Lepisosteus oculatus: one gene and its partners. The protein of the gene in region 2 interacts with the protein of the main gene of each other region in a pairwise test. Links are inferred from orthologs where the notes say so. Each region holds a gene or a part of one and is shown on either strand. Other genes may lie near its edges.

Region 1 (7,442 bases), on a different chromosome or scaffold from region 2:
CATCAAGCTGCCTTTCTGCTTCTGGTTCGAACTGACGCATCCAGCTGACCATGAGTGACCATGTCTCTCTTCTATAAAATTAACAGGATGTATTACATCCGCTGACTTTTAAAACATGGGTTTCTACTCATCTCTGTTGTACATTATTTCAAGGAAATCATTTTAGAATTCTCCTGTGTAAAGACAGCCATCCCAAAGCTCTATAAAATAAACTGTATAAATGAAATGATATTTAATAATGGGGAAAATGCCGTACGTTGCTCCAAAAAGATTTGTTCAGCTTGAACAGACTAAACCTCCAATTTAACAAAATCCATCTGCCCTTATTTTATGAAAATGAGTTGTCATGACACTGGTTAAAAGGAAAATTTGGAAACCTCTGAATCTTACAGAAATGTTTGAAAGGAACTGTTACAAACGCAAAACATCTTGCACAGCCCTAGTTAACAATCCAGCATTTGTGGGCTAAAGTGTAGATAGTCTTATCTGAGAGACCAGATGGGTCTTTTAACACTTGTCTTCTTCAGTTTTCTTTGCTGTTTTGGAGGATGTGATCCCAGCTGAGGACTTATTATTAAGAATATTTTAAGCTTTTATTATAGTAGATGTAATATTTATGATATTATAATGTTTGACTCAATAATCACACTGGGTGTTTCTCATGTTTAATTAATGACCAAGAAGTACTTATTTTTTAATGTTTGTGTAATAAAGCTGAAAAAAATAAATTAGACAATTGTATTTTTCTGAAATAAATGGAAATTTAGTTCTGTCTTCTGTATCCTTTTTACCTGGTCACATTACAGCTGCTTACTCTTTGCAAAAACACTGTGTAGAAAGATTGAGACTCTGCAGTGTTGGTAAAGCTTAATTCAACTGCACTTCCCACAGTCTGAACAGTCACATCCCAACCTTACTTTGGAGCTGAGGAAAATGTTCTGATAAATCAATATTTGCTGGTAAACAGAAACCCTAAACCAATTCAATATCTCTAAAAATCCCATTCAACTACTGAGTGCCCTGCCCACAGGAACATCATGCAAAAGATAGCCTACAACAGTTTTTCATTGATGAATGCTGGGGAAAAATAGATTGTTTCCTGCTGTCTTGCTACTTCCAGAGGTTTTCTTCGATAGAACAGAAATCATAACTAGTGTGTGGTGCCTCTCAAGGCTTCAGAGCTTTGGGCCAGGCAGAAACTCGTATAAAGTAGCCCATGCAATGCCAACTGAAATGAACAAATAAATGAGGAGTTTCAACACTGGACCCTTAACAGAAATAATTGTAGATAACTCCAAGTTATCTACATTATTTCAGATATGAATAGAGAGCATTTGGCTTTTAAAAACTTGCATTCACATGTGAAACCTGCTGCCTGAAGCAGACAGACTAACACAGGAAATGACTTGATGGAGAATTTTTCTTCTGTTTTTGAATTCTGCTCACCATGAAATACCCAGATTAAAGTACAAGTAATGCAAGTTAAGCCCAACTAGTCCTTTTAGTGGTTAGCAACAAACTGTTTCAGGATCTCATCCAACCAGTACTTGAAATAAGACAGAGCTTCAGCTTGAATTACATGACTGGGTAGCTTGTTCGAGATTCTTCCAACCCTTTGTGTAAAGAAATGCCTCCTTTCAGGTAGTTTTCACTTTCAACCTGTGGTTTGTGTTTTCCTATTTATACTGAAGACATTCATTTGCTAGACTTTGTCACTTAGCATGACCTTCCTTTAAGACCTTCACAATAACTGGTTCCTCTTCTCTGGACTGATACCTTAACAGAAATACCATAATGACCATAGTGACTAATATTCAGTAATATTTCAGAGGTAAATGTAGGTACAGTTAGTTACAGCATACAGTACATTCCTACAGGAGTTCAAATCAGAGCAACTGTATATTATGGTAAGCTCCATTAACCTCTGTGAGGTTATACCCTTTTTAAATCAGATTGTTTTTTTGCTTTGGGTTATTTATTTAAAAGAATTATCATTAGGGCTCTGAAGGTGTGTTAACTATTGTGGTCAGAGCACACAGACTGATACAACATGAACTCTTTGATCAGCAAATGGAATATCCTTTCCAGTGGCTGCCCTCTGAAGGACATGGAAGGGTCATGGAAGGGGACCAACAGGTACCTAATTCTAGTTTAAGGGATTACTGGGATAGTCTGAAGTGCAAGAACATCAACAACCTCATCTGATGATTTATTTTAGCTTTTGTTCAGTTGTGTTCTGGATCTGGGGCAAGATCAGTGGTGTTTTCTGAGGGAGAGCTCAAGATTACACAGAATTCAAGAACGTGCACAGAGGTACTGCATGAAGACACACATCACTCTACTGAGTGACTCTGAAACAAAGGTGAAAATATTATGGCAAAGGCCCAACAAAAACATTTCAGGAAAGAGATATGCTGTGCGCATCGTGTATGTACACTATCTGTGGGTATTCAAATATTTGAGAAATGTCTTTTATCCATCCTTCTTAGAAATGCTTTATCCAATTCAGAGTCACGGGGGGAGCCAGAGTCTAGCTCAGCAAGCAACGGGCACAAGGCAAAATACAGTACCTCCTGTATGGGAAGCCAGTCCATTGCAGGATACACACAGACACAAACATACACATACTCACACCTAGGCCAGTTTTCCCAGCAGGCAATTAACTTACAGTACCTGTGAGAGAAAACTGGAGCACTTGGTGAAAACCCATGCAAACACAGGGCAAACATACCAACTCCACACAGATAGCACCCCAGGTCTGAAATTAAAAGCAGGGCTCCATGCAGCACTGCAAAGCCGCAACGCCAACCACTGTGCCACCAAGTCAAACACCTTTCAAGCATGGGAAATTGAAAAATGTTTATGCCCACAAAGCCCGGAACCTCTTTTCAACTTCTCTAATCTCATCTCTGCCAAGTCTGCAATTCGGGCCAGTCTAAAAACAATTGATTTTCTGTGTTTGCTGTGAAACATTTTTTAAACAAGGCATTGTGTTTTAAATAACAGTCTGTAACATTATCGGGTTTTATGACAACTCTTCAAGCAATCCCTTAAAATAAAGAATCAACTTACTGCATTGGAGTTTGAAGGTGATTATTAATATTGCTGTTCTCCTTAATTATATAATGTGAATTTCAGATTAAAACGTCCACTGGAAGAACAGTGAGCGCTGATCTATTAAATTATTTAATACATGATTAAGATGAGCAGGATAGCGTTCCCTTTGTTTTGCCTCCCCCCCAAGACTAAATCCTACTTTAAATAAGGCAACTGAATAAATAATAACCAAATAATAAGACAATGTTGATTTCCTTCTGATGGTTTACTCTCTCACAAAATAATTTGGATGAGTCTGGTCTGAGCTAAAAACTTTGACAACACACTTGGTCTGGATGACAATTTTATCCAATGTGACTTGTGTTGTAAGTATACACACAGTGAAGTGTATAAACACTAAGAAGCACTATATCCAATCGTCTGAGAAGAAAAGAACAAACAGGAAATGTTTGTAGTATAATGTGCAGTCACCATATTGTAGACCAAAAGGAGCCTGAGTAAGATCTGTTTTGGATGTCTAGACGTAGCTCTGGTGACAATAGTTTAAAAAGCAGAGAGTCAGATCACATGATGTACATTTTGAGCAGTGGGCTCAGAGGAGACACCATAAGGATAATGATAGTGCAGTCCTGACGTTTGTGGATAGCTGATTCTGCCAAGAGAGGGGATTATGAGGCCAATATGAGAATAACCACAAAGTTCAGGAGCCCAAAATTGTAAGGTCTCTTCTAATCCACTCAGAGCCAAAGGACATTGATTCATTCATTGTGAATTAGTAAAAACAAATTGGTTGTAGTCCAGATCTCTCCCATTCTCACAAGAAACGAGAGATGGTTCCACTCCAAACTGGCACTTTTTAAAACAATCCAAGCATGATTTGATAACATGATGTTGGAAAATGGCACTAAGACAATGGTCTTGAGTTTAATGTCAAACACTTTCTGATTCAGGTATTTCATAATAATGAAATAAATAAGGCAACTATATTTAACTAGATTTCTTAACATTTTCAACTAAGATGACTTTGTGAGAAATCCAACGTGCACTCGAATTCAAGTTCAAAAGTGAAACTTTAAAACACCATTATAAATACTGAAACTTCATGAATACGACTGAATTAGGAACCTTAATTTTTATATAAACATATATTTTAACACGAACATGCAGCCTCTAAAAGGGATTTTTTTTTTGTCTGTAGTACAGCAGTGCACTAAAAGTGATTAAATCCTATGGTCTCCTTGAGACGTGGTAATTGAACATAGCGAAAGAGCGTCTATGGTTGATAATCCCAAACCATCCGGGTCCCTAGTGGGTTATATGTGATCATGTGACCTGAACTCAGCCATCTTGTTGTGGAAACGAAGGGAGACAGAGAGCTCGCATAGATACCCTGCACTGTTAGTAAAGCAGAGGTAAGACAGCGCGGTGGAAATTGTAGCTGTTGTTATTAAATAAACCTAGACGATTAAAATGAACATGTCACTATCGTCTTGATCCCTGTCCCCAGTTGATCGGAAGCAATTTGCTCCGGTTTCGGGACCCGCATGGTTGAGTGGCCGTGTATCTGCGGGCTCGAGTGTGGTAGGGGTGCCGTGTCGGGGCTGACTTCAGGCGCCCTGGAACGGCAGGAAAACGGGGTGTGGCGGCAGGCTGCTAGGCCGCACGGAAGGTTCAGGAGAGTGATAGCGAGGGGAGGGGAGGGGGTCGGTTAGGGATTAACTGGCGTGTCAGTGTACTTTCATACAGTTGGGGACTATCTGTTTGTCTCGTTTCGAAGTCTTTTGCTCGTGGTATTTTGTGGTCGATGAAGGTGGTCGGACTGGTGCTGTTTGTGAGGCTGGGGGAGGGAAGTCCTGACGAAAAAGTTGTGACAGTTTGCCCACAGAGCACACAATGCCTCCACGAATTCCAGTAGCTGCTCTGGATTCTGCAATGACAAGACAGTTTGAAACTGCAGTTTGCACTGGAGCGCTTTTCCAGGTGGCCTACCGGGGCACCCCGACGCCTGAGCTGGAAACTTTAAAATACCCACTTTTATTCGTACCCACTCTTCTCGAGTCGTTTCTTTATTAAGCAGCTCGTCCTTTAAAAGGCTTTCATCCTCTGATGCATTATGGTGATGTCGAATGTGGTTCGAGGGATGACTCCCGTTTACATACAGTGTAGAAATAAATGCTGTGTTTTTAAATACTTTTTTTTTCTTACGCGAGTGAGAATCTCGGATTTTTCTGAACGCAGCACAAGTTTCCCATGCGGATATTTTCGCGAGGCTTTCTGTCAGCCGTGCCCTGATGTACGTGCACCCTGTAAAAGTATTTGGTAGTTTTGTCTCTTCTGAACTTTATCGGGAAGCTGATTTTTTTTACCACCTAGCGTTTTAACTGTGTAGGAATCGCCTCGCTCTGAGCAAGTCTTTTTGAGTTTTTGTCTTCAGCTTTAAATTGCGACTTTCAAATCGTTGACTGTTAAAATTTAAAAGTAGATTTAAAAATCTACAGCTGGTGACTCATCAGTGATGTTTTTCATATAGAAAGGTGAAGCAATAATAGGGCTACAACTTGTTTGTTCCATGAGGTCATTTACAGCCACGCATCTCAACCGCGTGGGCTCTCAAAGACCTGCATTAGGTTATTTAACTGCCAGGACAGGACTGTCAGATATACTGAAAGAACATCTGTTTACTGAGTGGGTTTACGGAGCATTAGAGAATTATGGCAGAGTGCTGTACTTTGTGGTGCTCTCTGTCTCATGGAAGGTGGAGATAATGTGTGGATGTGCTTAGCAGTCCAGGTCTGTGGGGTTCCCGGTATAGAATCTGTATCTGAGGGTTTAAGCCAAGGACTGTGTTGAGGACAGCTCACCTGTGCTTATTGGGGGCAGGTGAAGTCTGGGGACTGGCAGGGGCCCGGCTGGGAGGGGGAAGCCTCTGACCTTTTTCATATTTGCATTGCTGGGAATGTGTGAGCTGAAGCTTGGGCAGCATCTTCTGTTAAAATGCAGGCACATTGGGCAGGCAAACATTGGCACGGGCAGGCAGGCATTCCTTCTAGAGAAAACGTATCGAGTTATAGTTTACCTTGCAGAAGCCTCCCATTACTGTCTGGGACTGCCCAGCAGATTCTGTGCCAAGAATGGGCTGTGATCTTCTATATCAAGGCTGCAGAGTGTGTAGGTACATTTCTGCCTTGATAAAGGAGAGGAGCTGCACCACAGAGTATTCTCATTAATTTATATCAATATGCAACATCTATCTCTTTTGTAACTGTTTCTATATGTATACACACTTAAAACACTTAAGCCGTTGTACCTCTTTATGGTCTGATCTTGTTAGATCTCGGAAGGCAGAGTGGTCAGTAGAGATCCTTATGGGAATCGATGTTGCTGCTGCAGGTGGTGTCAGTGGGCCAGTAGGTGGCACTTTTTTCTTTGAACCAGTGTTTTGCAAATCATCGTCTCAGGGCACACCAGTCTCCTGACAGTCCTACACCTCCCCTTTATCTGCTGTGTATTGGGGCTTCAATGTGTCACCTAAGTGGCGGACAAAGGGACCCGTTTCATAAATATATAAAGCAATATGGAATCCTTTATGATCAAAAGTGCTATATAAATGCAGTTGTTTTGTCTCTTTTGTCTCTGTGTGGATTCAGAAAGACATGTATGTGCAAAAACATCAAAAAGGTGCTTATCTATTAATAGGTGACTCTGTTTCTGTCAAGGCGGAGGGCAAGGCTGTTTGTCTCTCAGGTGTCATTAAATCAATGAATGACACCCTTACCAAATATTCTTTTCTTTGCGTTTGACTGACAGGGCATATAATTGGACTGAACTTATTAATTGTCACCGGTTACAGGGACTCAAAAGAGTCCTGTATTATTTTTCATCACTACTTCGCCGAGGCTGGAATGAGAAATTTGTGCACCTGCTGCCCTTTCTTGCATGTGGATTCAAATTCTGATTTCTTAAGTTTAGGAACCTTATGGTGATCACGCATGAGTCCCTACTTGTGATTAGTCTATAAAGAATATGTTCTGGAAGTTTATCAAATGAAACCTGTAGACTAAGAACTTTTTTTTTTTCAGTGGGTAATCCGCCCACTCTTTGGTAATTGCATTAGTTAGGCAGACTGCCCACAGTTTGTCCATAGTGAACAATTGGGACCAGTGTTGTGTTGTGTTCCTGTACACTGTGTGTGTTCTTGGAGGTCCTTTCAGAAATCTAAAAAGGACGTGTTTTCAAAAAGTTGCTGATTTAAAATGATTTTATCTCTTTAACATTGCAATGAATGTTGGCATTCACACAAGGCATATTTACAGCGTAGGCAGTGTGGTAGTCTTTTACTGCAAATCTCTTACCTTCCAAATTTGAACAAATTCTAAAAACAGAAA
Region 2 (7,859 bases):
AAGGCATTTCATTCTGGATGGAGGAGAGGAAATGTTTCTTTACTTTGCGAGTCTTTGGAACAGGCTTCCCAGCCAGGTGGTTGAAGGCCAAACTCTGGGCACTCTTAATAAAAACAGCTGGAGGAAATTTTATTTTCACTTAGCAACTAGAACTACCCAACGAGCACAGTGGAACAAACAGCCTCCCCCAGCCTTAATGCTCTAATTGCTCGTAGGTGCTGCCAATCCGTGGAATGGGGAGACAAAAGGTGACCTACACGAGAGACTGGAATGGGGTTCTCCAGATCCCTGTTGGAGGGACCCTGCAGTACATCAACCCACCATCTACAGAAGGCACTAAAAACAAAACTATATTGTGCACATTTTTTCCTGAATCTACTAAAAGGAAAGAACATTCAGATTCTACAAATAGGCTTCTGTGCAGATTCCCGAGACGTAGGTAAGGCTTCATGCCTGGAGTGACAGACCTGGTATGTAAAGGGAACTCTTGTAACAACCAGAACCCATTTGTCCGTCTTTGTCCACACATCACCCTATACTGACTCTTTCGATACAGATGCCATAACGCAATTCCTAAAAAGGACCAATCCAAAACAGAAGGGCCATCCAAAGGATCAGGATACAAAAATTAGCTAGATCACCACTTCACAAAGCCTATAAAAGCACAAAATATCCTCTTCATGGGAAACACACATTTAAAGCCTTATTATCTGCTGCTCAAGTGTGAAATGATGACATTTGAAGTATAGCACCCTTAGCAAACCCCTTTATCTTTCAGGACTGCGTCTGAAGGGTTTAGGTATTAGCCCCAAGTTACCTCATACACTGTACAGTAGTTTCACATTTGTGGTTCTAACTGCAACTTCTTTCAAACAAACACCACTAGATAAACAATTAGGACCATTCCCAACCCCAAAACACAATCGCTAATATTTCAATGTTTAAACCTGTTTATTTTAACTTTGTTCTAGCACTGCCCAAAATAACATCGATTGCACCTTAAGAAGTGCTGGAATATAATGCATAGTTAAATTGAAATCGTGTGAACCTTTACCAATTGAGCATTTAGTAAAACCAATATTTTACTAAATACGGAAATCAATATAATTATAAAGTCTAAAAGGAACAAAATGGCAGCATTAAAGTGAATGCAGTCTGTGTAGCCTGCATTATGCGCGCTTTAACTTCAGAATCCAGTTATTATCCAAGACCTCGTTGGTATTTACACAGGAGTGTAATACAGTCTTGTGTAAACTGAAACCGACAGTCTCTATGCCTTTGTCCACTTCTGCAGTGCCAGCTGCGAGATGTGTCAGAACACGCTTTGCTTTAAAAAATCTTAACGGTGGATGTTTTTCACTACATTAACATAATGCCCTCGGTGGGGATGAGGTCGATGTTGCAACTACAGTCGTGATTACCGCTGTACTACTGCAGAGTGCACGTAGAATTCTGCTGATTCAGCAACGCCAAAGTAAACATCACTTTTCGCCAAATAATACAAGTGCCTTATAGGAAATGTAAAAGCGGAATTATTTACTCCTTCGACGATACAAATTAAGTTTATTTTGTAAATGTTTCAAATACGCCTTTGAATGCGCAAAGCTATAGAACGTAGCGCAGTAACAAAACGCAATCCATGTGTTAAAAGACTTTGGCTTGCCCGTTTCAATAATGCAAAGCTCTGAAAAGCGTCTTACCCCACCCCCAAACTCAACGCTAAACGAAGATCTGCTTAAAAGTTACCGAACCACTCCAAAAATATTGTATTTAAAGTCTTGAACCAAACTTGGTATTAAACTCGACTGGGGATTCGTTTAAACGCCACACTTACTACGTGCTATATATTGTCGCACGCCGATTTTTCTTTCCGCAAAGGGATTTGAAATGTGTATATAAACCCGCTTGACGCGACCATGGCTTCCAAGTCTCCAAAACAGCGCGGACAAATCTTGGATTCTTTAGCTTTCTCAATTCGACGTTAACATTTGCAACCCAACTCATCCAGAAGCTCGATTTAACAACTCAGACCACTTGGTGCAAATCCTGATTTTCTGTGCCACACCGCAAAAGCGAGGACACTCCTGCTTTAAACTTAGGCTGGAAACTGTCGCGACTGACATTAATACAGTGTTGGGGGGGACAGCTGACTTCTCCCTTTACCGAGTAGCGACCGGAGCAGCTCGCACCCCAGCGCACCCACCCACCCAGCCTCGCATCTCCGGGCACTCAGCTCTTCACAAACTTTGTTCGCTACACAGCGGGGGAGTCGCTGCAGCGCACCGGAGCAACAAAAATACCACAAGCTGCTTAATCTCAAGAGACCTACCTTCAAGCCAGAGCCCTCCCAAAGAAAATAACGGCTGCGAGCCAGGGAAGGGTCGACTTTTAACGCAACTTCAGCCGCAGAGCTCACCAACGCGAAGTCGCTGCTCAGCGGAGCTCTCCTCTCTCGGTCTCCCCAGCGCACAACATCCCCCGTCCAAAACGGGCAGTTTTTCACGGGCTGCAGGCTCAGCTGACTCCCCCAGCACACGCGAGAAAACCCCACCCACCTGCCCCGCAGACACCTCCCCCTCCTCCACGCACAGCCGCCGGCGAAGCGCAGGCACCACCTTCGGGGGGGACTCGGGCTGCTTAACCCGTTAACCGTGCGCAACCGATCTGCGCACCGGGCGCCCCAAACCGTGTACCCCCACCCTCCCCGCTGCTTCTCGCCTTCCTGTTGGTCTTCCCGGCCCTTCACTGCGATGACTCGGGATACAGAAATCTTCCTCCTCCCCAGAGTGTGGAAAATAAAGTGCGTCTTTTGTGTTTTCTATTCTGTAGAAGACCTACACTTTTTTTGAAAAAAAAAAATACTTCTGCCCCGGCATCTTTGCGCAGACAAGTTAAATCTATACCCCGCCTACTAAAGGGGTACACACCCGTGCTTTTAACTGCCTAGGTACCCTCCCGGCTCCTGACGAATCCATACAGCAACATGGGAAAGGATCGTGAAAGACAGGAGCTCTTTAAATGTGTACTGTTTTTTTTTTCAGTCAGGTATTGCAACACCATCCCGGACTCCTTGCGTTGACGTAATTTATGAGCCGCTCACTCCCACACTTTCAGGGGTAGAGGCATCCACGTGATATTTATCCCTTGTATCGTCCATTTGTTGAAAAGCTAAGGAAGGTGCTTTAGAAATCATAAAACTGTTTTGTTATATTCTACTACATCGAATTGCATGGAAAAAAACATGCTGTTTCTGATTGCAATAATTTGCCCCGTTACACCAAATATTTCCTCCAAAGTTAATTCACACACATATACAGTACATATACTTTGCATTTGACTCTAGAGAAGCCCTTTCGTCTAAGGCGGTTTTAAAACCTTACTTTAAACGGTTGCACCTGAAATAAGCCACTCATACAAAAATAATAAAAAGATACGGCACTGTTTATGTGTTTGCCTTAGCTGCACCCAAATGTACTCAAATATACCTCTGTTATGTACAGTAACAGCTAGAACAAGCAGCAGATTTAAAGTGCAGGTGTAAACGACTAAATAATCAAAATGTGCTAAAATTTATGAAAACCTACTGAATACTGCATATCAGTAGCATAAATGTAAAAATAATACCTTTCTACATATACAATGTTCAAATCTATTCATATCATAGCCAGGGAATATGTTGAACTGCTGTAAATGCAGTCCTCTGTTATTGTAGTCTTCTGTCAGGTTCACAAAGCCTTGCAAAGTTTACACAAGTTCCTGGAAGACTTCTTGATTGCCTCTGTTTATTAGTGAGAGTTACAAAACTTCAGTTACAAAAAAACATCTGGAAGACATCTCAGTTTCAGCTGTGGTGTCTATCTCCAAGATGTTCAAGCCTAATGGCAGCTTCCTCACAAGGAACAGGACATGAGAAAGTGCTGCCCAAATGTACAGTACCTTCAGAGATGGTATTTGGAAATATAACTCCCTCCAAAGGCCAGCAAATGGGAATCTTCAAAATACTCTGGAAACTCTTCAAGACTTCCATTCGGGGCTGACCTCATGAATTCGTTGTCTGCGGTTGAGTTCCATGGTAACATGGTTCCATGGAACAAAAAGGAAAGAAATGAATTTGCCAAGCAGCAAACGTGTGAATTGGAAATGAAGTGACTGCACAGAACAGTTTTTGGACAGTCCCACCAGGAGTATGATTAGCAGAGAAAAGTGAAACCCATGTTGAGAAAGAATCATTCCCCTGTGGTGAACCAAATTGATTTTTCTTCTTAGCTTTAGGGTTGTTTGAGTCCTGGAGTTCTAGCTGACAAAGATGAATAGACAGACAGTAAACTCTACCAGCATATATTGTATGAGCCAAATACTAGTGCCTACTATTAGCTCATGCTTGGTCATCAAATAGGGTTCCATCAGAAAAATAAATAAATAAGGGGAGATTTTAGGACTGAGGAGGCCATTTTGCATTCTACAGTAGGTGTAGGAAAGTACCGGAAATTCAGTCTTTAATAAATCCATCCATCTATTTACCAGAATGAACACCTTTCTAGGAGTCAAGAGCAGTTAGCTTTACGTACAGGAAAAAGAATTAGAAGTCACTGAACAATTCCAATTCTGCTGCAGTGTTGTTATTGGACAAACAGTTACTTCATACACATACCTGCAATTCACTGCATTTATTTCTCACGTTAACAGGTGCTCAAGACCAAAAAGGATGTATACAGAAATAGTGTTGCAACTATGTGATAACAACAAAAAAAACAAACAATTACCTGCAGGAATGTAAAACCCTAACAAAGCACAATTCCTCTCAATCAGCCTGGAGAAATCAGACATATTTATAAACGTAAGAAAATGTAAGCAGGTTAATTGAATGCAGATCATAAGAGGTACTGTTTAAACTGAGATTTATAGCCAGTTATGCATTTCATCTTTGTAAACCAACAGCAAGAGCAGGTACTTTTTTTCCTAAAGTGGTAATCTGTAATTTTCTTCTTTTCCAATAGAGAGATTTCATTATTAAGAATTATTAACTCTACAAACTGTCATGCTTTGATCATTCATTTTCTTTGTTTGGTCGTAGTTTTCCATGGTTTATCTTTATGTTTCACCGTGGTTTTACTGCGGTTTTAACACACTTTAGTTTGGTTTTACCACGGTATACAGTAAAATCTGATTGGTTGAATGTGACCAATGGAATTATTTCTATAGATGTGTTTACATTTACCTTTTTGATATAGTTTTTTTTCAATTACAGTATATATGAAATTGTTTTTCACATCTGGTCGCCTTTCATCCCTGCATGTGAGAAATTAGAAACTAGTCGGAGGAATAATGCAAAAACAACCAGAGATCTGTGTATCTGGCCAACATGGGAAGAACCAATCATGGCTCATGATTCTTCAGTGTAGAAGGTTAATTGCCTGAAACTTTTCCCAGCTGAGCAGAAAGTGGCACTGCCATATGGGCTCATATTTATAGGAAATCTTCTGCACATGGTTATAGGGTATTATACATTTTTTCGTACATACTTTATACGAGTATGATGATTTACCAGATTAGTTATAATCTCTGTACAGTATATAAACAGTACCTAAGTGTGCATTTGGCATATACATAGATAGATAACACATGCTGTTTACTTTCTGAAAATGAAAGTTATAGATAATATCCTGACTGACCCAAAAGACCCCTTGCATGTCATAAAAAGAAAGTCAACCTTCAGCATAATCAAAATACATTCTAAGAATATATATAATTTCATATTTCTTTTTGATCATTAGAATGAGATGCAGAGAGAGGTGGCCTTGTGAGAACGCCACCATCTTGGTTCAGATCTCAGGCCCTGTGTTGTGGCCTTGAGCCAAGATGGCCACCTGTTACTTCTGGAGAAACTGCAGAACAAGGCATACCATTTGATATGTTAATGTGTTAATTTCCTCTTTGTATACTCCCTCCTCTGATTAATTTGAGTAAAATTGTGCCTGGTGTGAGATGAATACAGTATGTGAGCTTTTTGCAACCTAACCACAAGAAAAAAGGGCTAACCTTCATCAGTCCTCTCATTAGAATACAGCATCCATCCTAATACAGACTGTAGACTGTAAATTCACGCACAGCCTGATGTGTGCCAGACAGGGCTAATTTATGTTAGTCCGTATTCATCTGAGCATGTCCAGAGATTACAGCTCACAGGAGCAAGCCTTCATAATGATTTTTCAGCACTGCAGGTGCTCCACGGGCCCTCAGTGAGCACATTCAATGGTGGAGCTGATTGGGGTCCATCTGTAAGAAAGTTTAAAGCATGAGAAAAACCTGTTGATGACCCGGGACATCAATGGCAGTTTTAATTCTTGATTTTTAATTGTTTTATTGACTTTCATAGAGAGATTTTGCTTTGTTGCATCCTTTTTTTATATTCACTACTTTGCACGTTGTTAAAATTCATGTGTGCTGTACTGTCCCTTGTAATAAAGATATGATTTTATGCATTATCTCTTTCAGCAGCATTCCCTTCACTTCACTCACCATCATTGTCAGTGAGCAATAAAATATATAGAGCTCTGAAACATACAGATATATGCATAAATGTTTGGCAGTGAGGGTGGTAATTCAGTCTATAGTCTATTTTCTACAAAATATTGAGTTCATTTTAAGCGTTTTATATGTCAAAGGATATATTGAAAATTTGCTATGTTTTATGTGTTAACTAAACTCACAGTGGCATGTCTTTAGTCCTACATGGAGGATTATTTTTTAGTTTTGAAATTGTGAAATGTCTAGCCCCTGATATTACAAATGAAGTATGTATGGTACAAGTATGTAGACAATGCTAAACGAAAAAAGTAAAATGAAAATTATAAAGGGACATTATGTGCTTGTGTGCAGTGGTGTGTGCCAACTCTTTGTCATTCACATTGTGGTGCTGCTCACCGGTATTTAAAAGGCTGAGTGCAATATCAAAGCTGGGATCAATTACTGAATTTCTCCATCAATGTCCCACTCCACCCTGTAGGCCTGAGACTGAAAAATGACAGGCTAGAGATGGCCTTTCCTGAGGAGATACTGTACAGTATGTGAGCAGAGAAGGAGGGACACAGCTAATCACAATATTGAAAGTGATCATTGTGGTGGAGATCCAGAGCAATTAAAACACCCTAATGCTTTAGTGAAAAAGATTTCTATTATTTTCATACTGACATGAACAAAGCGTTTTTTCTTATTTTGTTATCATGACTGTGACAGGTACTGTATATATAATAGTCTAATGCAGAGAGCCTTCAGGCCTCAAAGAAAAATATTTATTTTTCTAAAACCTTTCTTTCAATTACAAGTTACTTGGCCAGTACTGGGGAAGAGTCCATTTTAATGGCTGTAGCCAGTTTTCAGCAGTTTGACCAGTGATGATTCATCAGTGACAGTCAAGCCTCAATCTGTAATCAGGAAGCTACCAGGAAGTGGCCTATAACTAATGATAATGATAGCAGCACTGTCGGGAAATGTCTGTGTCACTATTTGTATCAACAGTGATGATCAATATTTTTTTTTAAAAAGCTGGTTTAAAGCATAAGCAAAAAATGACTTTTGAAATGTAACAGCAAAACAACATTTTAGTGCACATCCACTTGGCAGCAGGCTATGATAGCAATGAATTGCATTACAAATTTGATACTGCAATGTATCCAATTAACTCAAGATGGATCCACAAAGACACAATTGGACATAGGTGCCTGCATTAACCCCTTAAACCTGGTTTAAAAACTTGCACAAAAATGAATCTCTTGACAAAAAAACAGAAAAGGGGTTAAATAAGTGTTGACTGTGCCAGGAAACTTTAAATAAATGAATACTGCATTGGCTAATGAGAA
Region 3 (7,015 bases), on a different chromosome or scaffold from region 2:
TCCCTCTCCTCTCACACTCCCCCTGAATTCACCAGCACACACACACTGTCACACCTGACTGTACTATAAACACTGCTAGAGCCACTGCTGTCCCTCTCCTCTCACACTCACCCTGAATTCACCAGCACACACACACACTGTCACACCTGACTGTACTGTAGACACTGCTAGAGCCACTGCTGTCCCTCTCCTCTCACACTCCCCCTGAATTCACCAGCACACACACACACACTGTCACACCTGACTGGACTGTAGACACTGCTAGAGCCACTGCTGTCCCTCTCCTCTCACACTCCCCCTGAATTCACCAGCACACACACACACTGTCACACCTGACTGGACTGTAGACACTGCTAGAGCCACTGCTGTCCCTCTCCTCTCACACTCCCCCTGAATTCACCAGCACACACACACACACTGTCACACCTGACTGGACTGTAGACACTGCTAGAGCCACTGCTGTCCCTCTCCTCTCACACTCCCCCTGAATTCACCAGCACACACACACACACTGTCACACCTGACTGGACTGTAGACACTGCTAGAGCCACTGCTGTCCCTCTCCTCTCACACTCCCCCTGAATTCACCAGCACACACACACTGTCACACTTGACTGTACTGTAGACACTGCTAGAGCCACTGCTGTCCCTCTCCTCTCACACTCCCCCTGAATTCACCAGCACACACACACACACTGTCACACCTGACTGGACTGTAGACACTGCTAGAGCCACTGCTGTCCCTCTCCTCTCACACTCCCCCTGAATTCACCAGCACACACACACACACTGTCACACCTGACTGGACTGTAGACACTGCTAGAGCCACTGCTGTCCCTCTCCTCTCACACTCCCCCTGAATTCACCAGCACACACACACTGTCACACTTGACTGTACTGTAGACACTGCTAGAGCCACTGCTGTCCCTCTCCTCTCACACTCCCCCTGAATTCACCAGCACACACACACTGTCACACTTGACTGTACTGTAGACACTGCTAGAGCCACTGCTGTCCCTCTCCTCTCACACTCCCCCTGAATTCACCAGCACACACACACTGTCACACCTGACTGTACTGTAGACACTGCTAGAGCCACTGCTGTCCCTCTCCTCTCACATTCACCATTAATTCACCAGCACACACACACACTGTCACACCCTGCTGTGAACTGTAACACAGCAGACACTGATAGAACCACCACTGACAAAATTTTTATTTAAAATAAAAACATTTCAGTCTTTAAAAACGGTGCTTTCAAGTCTCATGGTATTCTCATCATCGTCTCAATAGTTACCCCCCTCCAAAGCAATGCCTTAAAGAAACAAAACACTCTGAATAGACAAAATCATACAAACGTGCCTTAAAGTAAAGTACCGAACAGCTGAAAAAGAAACTCAATCCTCCCCCTAAAGGCAACACTGCTTTGTTGCTGACCAGCCCAGCTCCAGATCCGGACAACTATACTGGTTTAAACCATCAGAGAGAATAGTGTGTATCACTGGTCCAGGCGGAGACCGAGTTATGAAGAAACCCAGGTCTCAGTGCCTCACTTTCGTGAGTGCTCGGTCACCGAGGGGCACCTAACTCAGGATTTCATCGCAGCGCAGGGCCGTCCACTTTCCAATAAGTACTGAATCGACCCTTGATTGCTGAATTCGCTCCGATCGATAACGAAGGATCAGCCGGAGAGTAGGCTTTAATGAGATAAGATAGATCAGATTTTTATCGTCCCCTGGGGGAATTTTTTTTATGGATGACGGGGAACGCAGGTGCCGGACCTGACAGCCCCCTGCCAAAAACGCACGGCGAGACCGTCCAAAACAACGTCCGTGCGGGACCACACCTCCACGGACCGCACGCAGAAAATCACCCAGCTCCCTGAACCACAGGCCAGCGCCAGCTCGCAGGGATCGGAGTGCGCGCACTGCCCTGCGCGGTTTTAGCGCATCCGAACAAAACTTCAAAACACAAAAACTCGCCGCCGCCGCCGCCGCCACAAACCCGTCTGCACCTTGGTACGGTGACAAGCACCTCAGGGGGGACAGTCCTAGCTTGCGGGGAGCTGCACGGCGCCCCCTGAAAACTGCCCGTCCCCACCCCACACGCCAGGCTCCCGGACCCACTGCGCGGCTGCAGTCCGTCACCTCCACGGCGTCAGAACAGGCGCACCATCGGCACCGTGAACACCGACACGACCCGCTCTGCGCTCACGCCGCCCCGCCAGCCCTGCCGCCCGGTCTTGATTAACGCATGAGCGGCGCAGGAAACGCAGCACCACCTTGTTACAGCACCGATGGCAGAAGCAGCTGCAGCTGCGGCGACGTCCCAGCAACGGCCTACCCTGCGCGGTGCAAAGCGACGTTACTGAGGCTGTCGTGGGAGGAACAAACTAAAAACAAACAAACCCGTGCAAGTTCCAAAAAAGACGGGTGTCGCACAGCTGTGCACGCCGGGCGATCCTGCACCGATCCAGCCCCCGAGATTCCCGGTCGGGAGAGAGGGGGCCCGACGCTGCAGGCCTTCCAGCAGGGAGGGGGAGGAGGAGGAGGAGGGGGGGGCGGGGTGTGAGAGGCACTGACCCCCTCCCGCCCACCTCCCCTCCCCGCCGGCCGCCCCTCCAACTCTACCCCGCTGCTCTCGCCGCGGCCTTCACCTGCTCTCGGTCTTTCCTCCTGCCCTTTCATCCCCACGACGAGGCGAAAGAAACCCTCAATCCGCGCAAGACTTAGAGCCCCCCAAACAGACAAACCGCACCCTTGTCGCTTACACACACACCTCCTCCTAAAAAATACAGTTAAACCCGGGAAGAAGCAAGTCTGGCGCTTACCTGCGTTTTGTTTATGTTCCCGACTTGAGTTTTTTAAATGTATTTCTCTCTCCTTGAATTATTTTGTTCGTCTTCTTTCCGCTGTCTCGATTTTTTTTCCTCCGCCGGATTACTCGCTGCTATTATTATTAATAACTATTATTACTACTGTTGTTTTAAATTCTATTTTTAAATGCAAGTAGTATCCAACAGTCGTTGCGCGTTTGTCGCTGTGCTCACTCGCTCCTTGTTTGTGTTTTAAAAAAAGATGGCCGTCCTACTCGCGCCACGTGATAGGGGAGCTCGAGAAGCTGAGTTTTTCCCCGAACCACAGAAGTCGCCCCCTGTCACGTGATATATGATCCAGCAGGGTTGGAGGATGCCGCGCGGCTCCGGCTTCTAACTCTGTTTTTTCACTTAATGCGCCAGCATAATGTGTGGAGTGCTGTTCATGTGGACCCCTTAACTAAAACCAGCTTGCAATGAAAAACACGAAAGGCCCTCCTGGACCAGGACTAGACAGCTTGCTTTAAAGAGACCTGGAGAGACTGCAGACACACTGACCCCTCCAGGACCAGGACTGGACAGCCCTGCTTTAAACAGACCAGGAGAGACTGCAGACACACTGACCCCTCCAGAACCAGGACTGGACAGCGCTGCTTTAAAGAGACCTGGAGAGACTGCAGAAAACTGACCCCTCCAGGACCAGGACTGGAAAGCCCTGCTTTAAAGAGACCAGGAGAGACTGCAGACACACTGACCCCTCCAGAACCAGGACTGGACAGCCCTGCTTTAAAGAGACCTGGAGAGACTGTAAACACACTGACCCCTCCAGGACCAGGACTGGACAGCCCTGCTTTAAACAGACCAGGAGAGACTGCAGACACACTGACCCCTCCAGGACCAGGACTGGACAGCCCTGCTTTAAAGAGACCTGGAGAGACTGTAAACACACTGACCCCTCCAGGACCAGGACTGGACAGCCCTGCTTTAAACAGACCAGGAGAGACTGCAGACACACTGACCCCTCCAGGACCAGGACTGGACAGCCCTGCTTAAAAGAGACCTGGAGAGACTGTAGACACACTGACCCCTCCAGGACCAGGACTGGACAGCCCTGCTTTAAACAGACCAGGAGAGACTGCAGACACACTGACTCCTCCATCACCAGGACTCGACAGCCTTGCATTAACTGTACAAGAAGCCTTTTCCTTGCTCTGCAGCAGGTGAAGGTTTAAAGGGACCTGCAAGCCCCAGAGCTGGGCGCCTCTGATTTAAATACACCTCTTTCAGCAGCACTCAGGGCAGAGAACGGATGACATATCTTCACACAAAGGACAGTGGGTTTCTGGAAAACGTTGCCCAAGAGCTCTGTTGAAGCTGATTCCCCTGGATCTTATAAGAAAGGGCTGGATAGGATTTGTGGCTCATTAGCAATCCAATTAGCACGAGGGGCAGAGGGGCCTGCTCACTTTTGTAACTCTTTGTATGCACTTGTGCGCTTGTGAAGTGACCCTCCTGTCAGCTGGGAGAACGTTGTGCAAGTCAACTCATACGCTTCATTCCTCCTTCGCCTCTGCAGATCTGGAAACTCCCTTCTGGGACTATTGGAAAACGCGCATGGCTGCGTCCATCACAGGCCTGACCATGTGGTGTTTGCATGTTCTGCCTCCGGTCTGGTTTCTGAAAGGTCACTCTCGGGGTCATTTCCCGCCTCCCCTCTCATGCGTGAGCCTGGGTCTCGTCTCTCTCAGACACAGCTGGTTTCCAGACACCGGGCACTCATAAAATCCACCTCCATAGCATCGGCTTAAACTTCCTCCTCTAGATGTCAGAGCAGCACATATTTTAGGGAAAAAATTCAATATGTGGCTAAAATAACTTTAAAAATCCACCAGCCGTTGTATGAAGTTCCATAATTCAACACTTTTATGCCACATAGAGGAACTTCTTGCCGTTTCAGATGGCTATTGGACTTCAAACTTAAATCAATTAAGTTTTTCAGGGGTTCACATACTGTATCTATATATAGGCGCTAACTCCTCGTTGTCATGCATTTGTTGGTCGCTGTGGCGTCCGTCTATTAACGTTGTCCTACCGGGGCTTTCCGCCTTTCCGGGTCGGACCAGTTCAGCGGTGTCGCTCTAAAACCCTTCCGTCTCTCTGCATGCGAAGCCCCAGGACGGGGAGCCGAGGCCGCTGTCCGGGTCGCAACAGCACGAACGACACCACCGACGTCGATCTGTAGTCTTCAGTTCTTTCACTTGGAGAAAAGGTCAGTGGTTTCGGTGTGCAAAATAAAAAAACAAAAACAAACGAACTAGCTGAACCAATGTCAGGAGCCGTTTTAAGTTACCGCAAAGAGGTGGGCCACGTCATCTGCACCGATGTTTCCTGACGCGTTAAGCCGCCAGAGAAGCTCACCTAATCGGCCTTCACCAGGGCATAAAGCCCCCCTAAACTTAACTCGCTTTATTAAGGCAGAAATAAATGTTGTATGTTCACTGTGCTGTCGTCCGATTTCACTAAAGAGCGCGAACACGTTTATTACGAAAACGTGAGAGTAAAACCGATGAAGCCGAAACTTTGAATGATGAAATCAGGAGGATTTTATTCCGGAACTTTTCGGAACACATTTGCCAGCAAAATAACTCTTCATAAAATGTATTGCTCTGTTAGCTACGACTTGCGTGTCGTCCTGGGATTGTTTTCATTTTGTTTGGCATTACTGTATCTCTCCATTCATGGCTGTGCAAACCAGCAAAGAAATTCTGTCTCTTCTCCCTTAAAATGACACATTCCCTGCGTTTCGCCGCGTAATTCCAAATTCAAATACATTTGGTGTAAACATAGGCTAAAAGCTTTGGAGGCGTCTGACAATCGACCAACAATAACAGTAACAGTAAACCAACTGGATGTGTAAGTTTTACTGACAAAGTCATCATAAATGTATTCCATTGAATATTTAAAGATTAGGCAAAAAAAATATGTACAGTACATGTTTCTGCAGTTTTACATAAAGAATAAAACCCAGGTTTAACCCAGGAATTCTCTACCTTGGTGTTCTCCTTCATATATTAAAAAGACAGTACACATACTCCGTTTATGACTACATTTGTACAGAGAGGAGTGTGATGATATTCTACTGTTGTCAAAGGCAATGCTACTTGGCACAGGACAATATGATTGCATATATATTGCTGGATATTAATGTATTAGCCAATATTGTTCACAAAGTAATTATGTTTTAACACAACACCAACTCCCTCTGCCTGCTCCTCCTCCCTCTCCCTCTCCCTGCCTGCTCCTCTCCCCCTCTCCCTGCCTGCTCCTCTCCCCCTCTCCCTGCCTGCTCCTCTCTCCCTCTCTCTGCCTGCTCCTGTTCCAGTGTGATGGCAGATCCCCGGAGTCCTGTGTCTGTCCCTGCCAGTGGAGGCACTGCCCGGCCACTGGGGGGCGCTGGCGAGGTGGAGATGGACCCCGTGGAGTTCACCCTGCGGAAGCGGCTCCCGCGCAAGCTGCCGCGCCGCCGCAACGACGTCTACGTCAACATGAAGACCGACTTCCGCGCCCAGCTGGCCCGCTGCCAGAAGCTGCTGGAGGGCGGCGGGCAGCGGGAGATCTGCGTGCACGGCCTGGGCCTGGCCATCAACCGCGCCATCAACATCGCGCTGCAGCTGCAGGCCGCCAGCCAGGGGGCGCTGCAGATCGCCGCCAACACCTCCACCGTGGAGCTGGTGGACGACCTGGAGCCCGAGGACGAGGAGGGGGGCGAGCCGCTGACCCGCACGCGCAACAACTCCGCCATCCACATCAAGGTCTTCTACGGCGAGGGGCACTGAGGGGACTGGAGCGGGCAGGGACGCGCTGACCGGTCCCGCAGGGTCTCCGGTCCCGGGGCATTCTGGCTCTCGGAGGACAGCGCGTTGGGAGATCCCGTCTGCACGCGGTGTTGCACTGATCCGCGGCAGGACGGCCCAGGCTCCTGATCGCCCCTGCGTGCCCCCCCCCCCCCAGCTGGTCTCTGAGCAGGTCGTCACTTCTCGGCCGTTGCTGTGGTTTAATGACTGCTGGGACAAGAGCTGACAGCCTGATCACACCGCCGCGCTGCTGGAGAAGGTGCGTGGGTCCTGCTGGGTGGGGTGGGCCTGCGCAGGCCCAGCGCCCTTTCTGCCCCATCGCCCTTTTTCCAGGCGAGAGCCTTGA

What was found.
Region 1: the proteins of grb10b (region 2) and gigyf2 interact in a two-hybrid assay, tested with the Homo sapiens proteins (2 studies listed by BioGRID). The link is inferred for Lepisosteus oculatus from reciprocal best matches to the Homo sapiens genes GRB10 and GIGYF2.
Region 3: the proteins of grb10b (region 2) and gigyf1a interact in a two-hybrid assay, tested with the Homo sapiens proteins (2 studies listed by BioGRID). The link is inferred for Lepisosteus oculatus from reciprocal best matches to the Homo sapiens genes GRB10 and GIGYF1.

The regions. Positions count from the first base shown.
Region 1 is NC_090708.1:19,413,088-19,420,529, reverse strand, and holds the start of gigyf2 (GRB10-interacting GYF protein 2), read left to right. Parts: upstream 1-4,371; 5' UTR 4,372-4,469; intron 4,470-7,442. UniProt on the Homo sapiens protein: Key component of the 4EHP-GYF2 complex, a multiprotein complex that acts as a repressor of translation initiation. In the 4EHP-GYF2 complex, acts as a factor that bridges EIF4E2 to ZFP36/TTP, linking translation repression with mRNA decay.
Region 2 is NC_090705.1:43,180,246-43,188,104, forward strand, and holds the start of grb10b (growth factor receptor-bound protein 10), read right to left. Parts: upstream 3,005-7,859; 5' UTR 2,928-3,004; intron 2,560-2,927; exon of another isoform or gene 2,330-2,559; intron 1-2,329.
Region 3 is NC_090698.1:9,898,982-9,905,996, reverse strand, and holds the start of gigyf1a (GRB10-interacting GYF protein 1), read right to left. Parts: upstream 3,089-7,015; 5' UTR 2,831-3,088; intron 1-2,830. Other genes in the region: pop7 (ribonuclease P protein subunit p20), read left to right, coding at 6,202-6,651. UniProt on the Homo sapiens protein: May act cooperatively with GRB10 to regulate tyrosine kinase receptor signaling. May increase IGF1 receptor phosphorylation under IGF1 stimulation as well as phosphorylation of IRS1 and SHC1.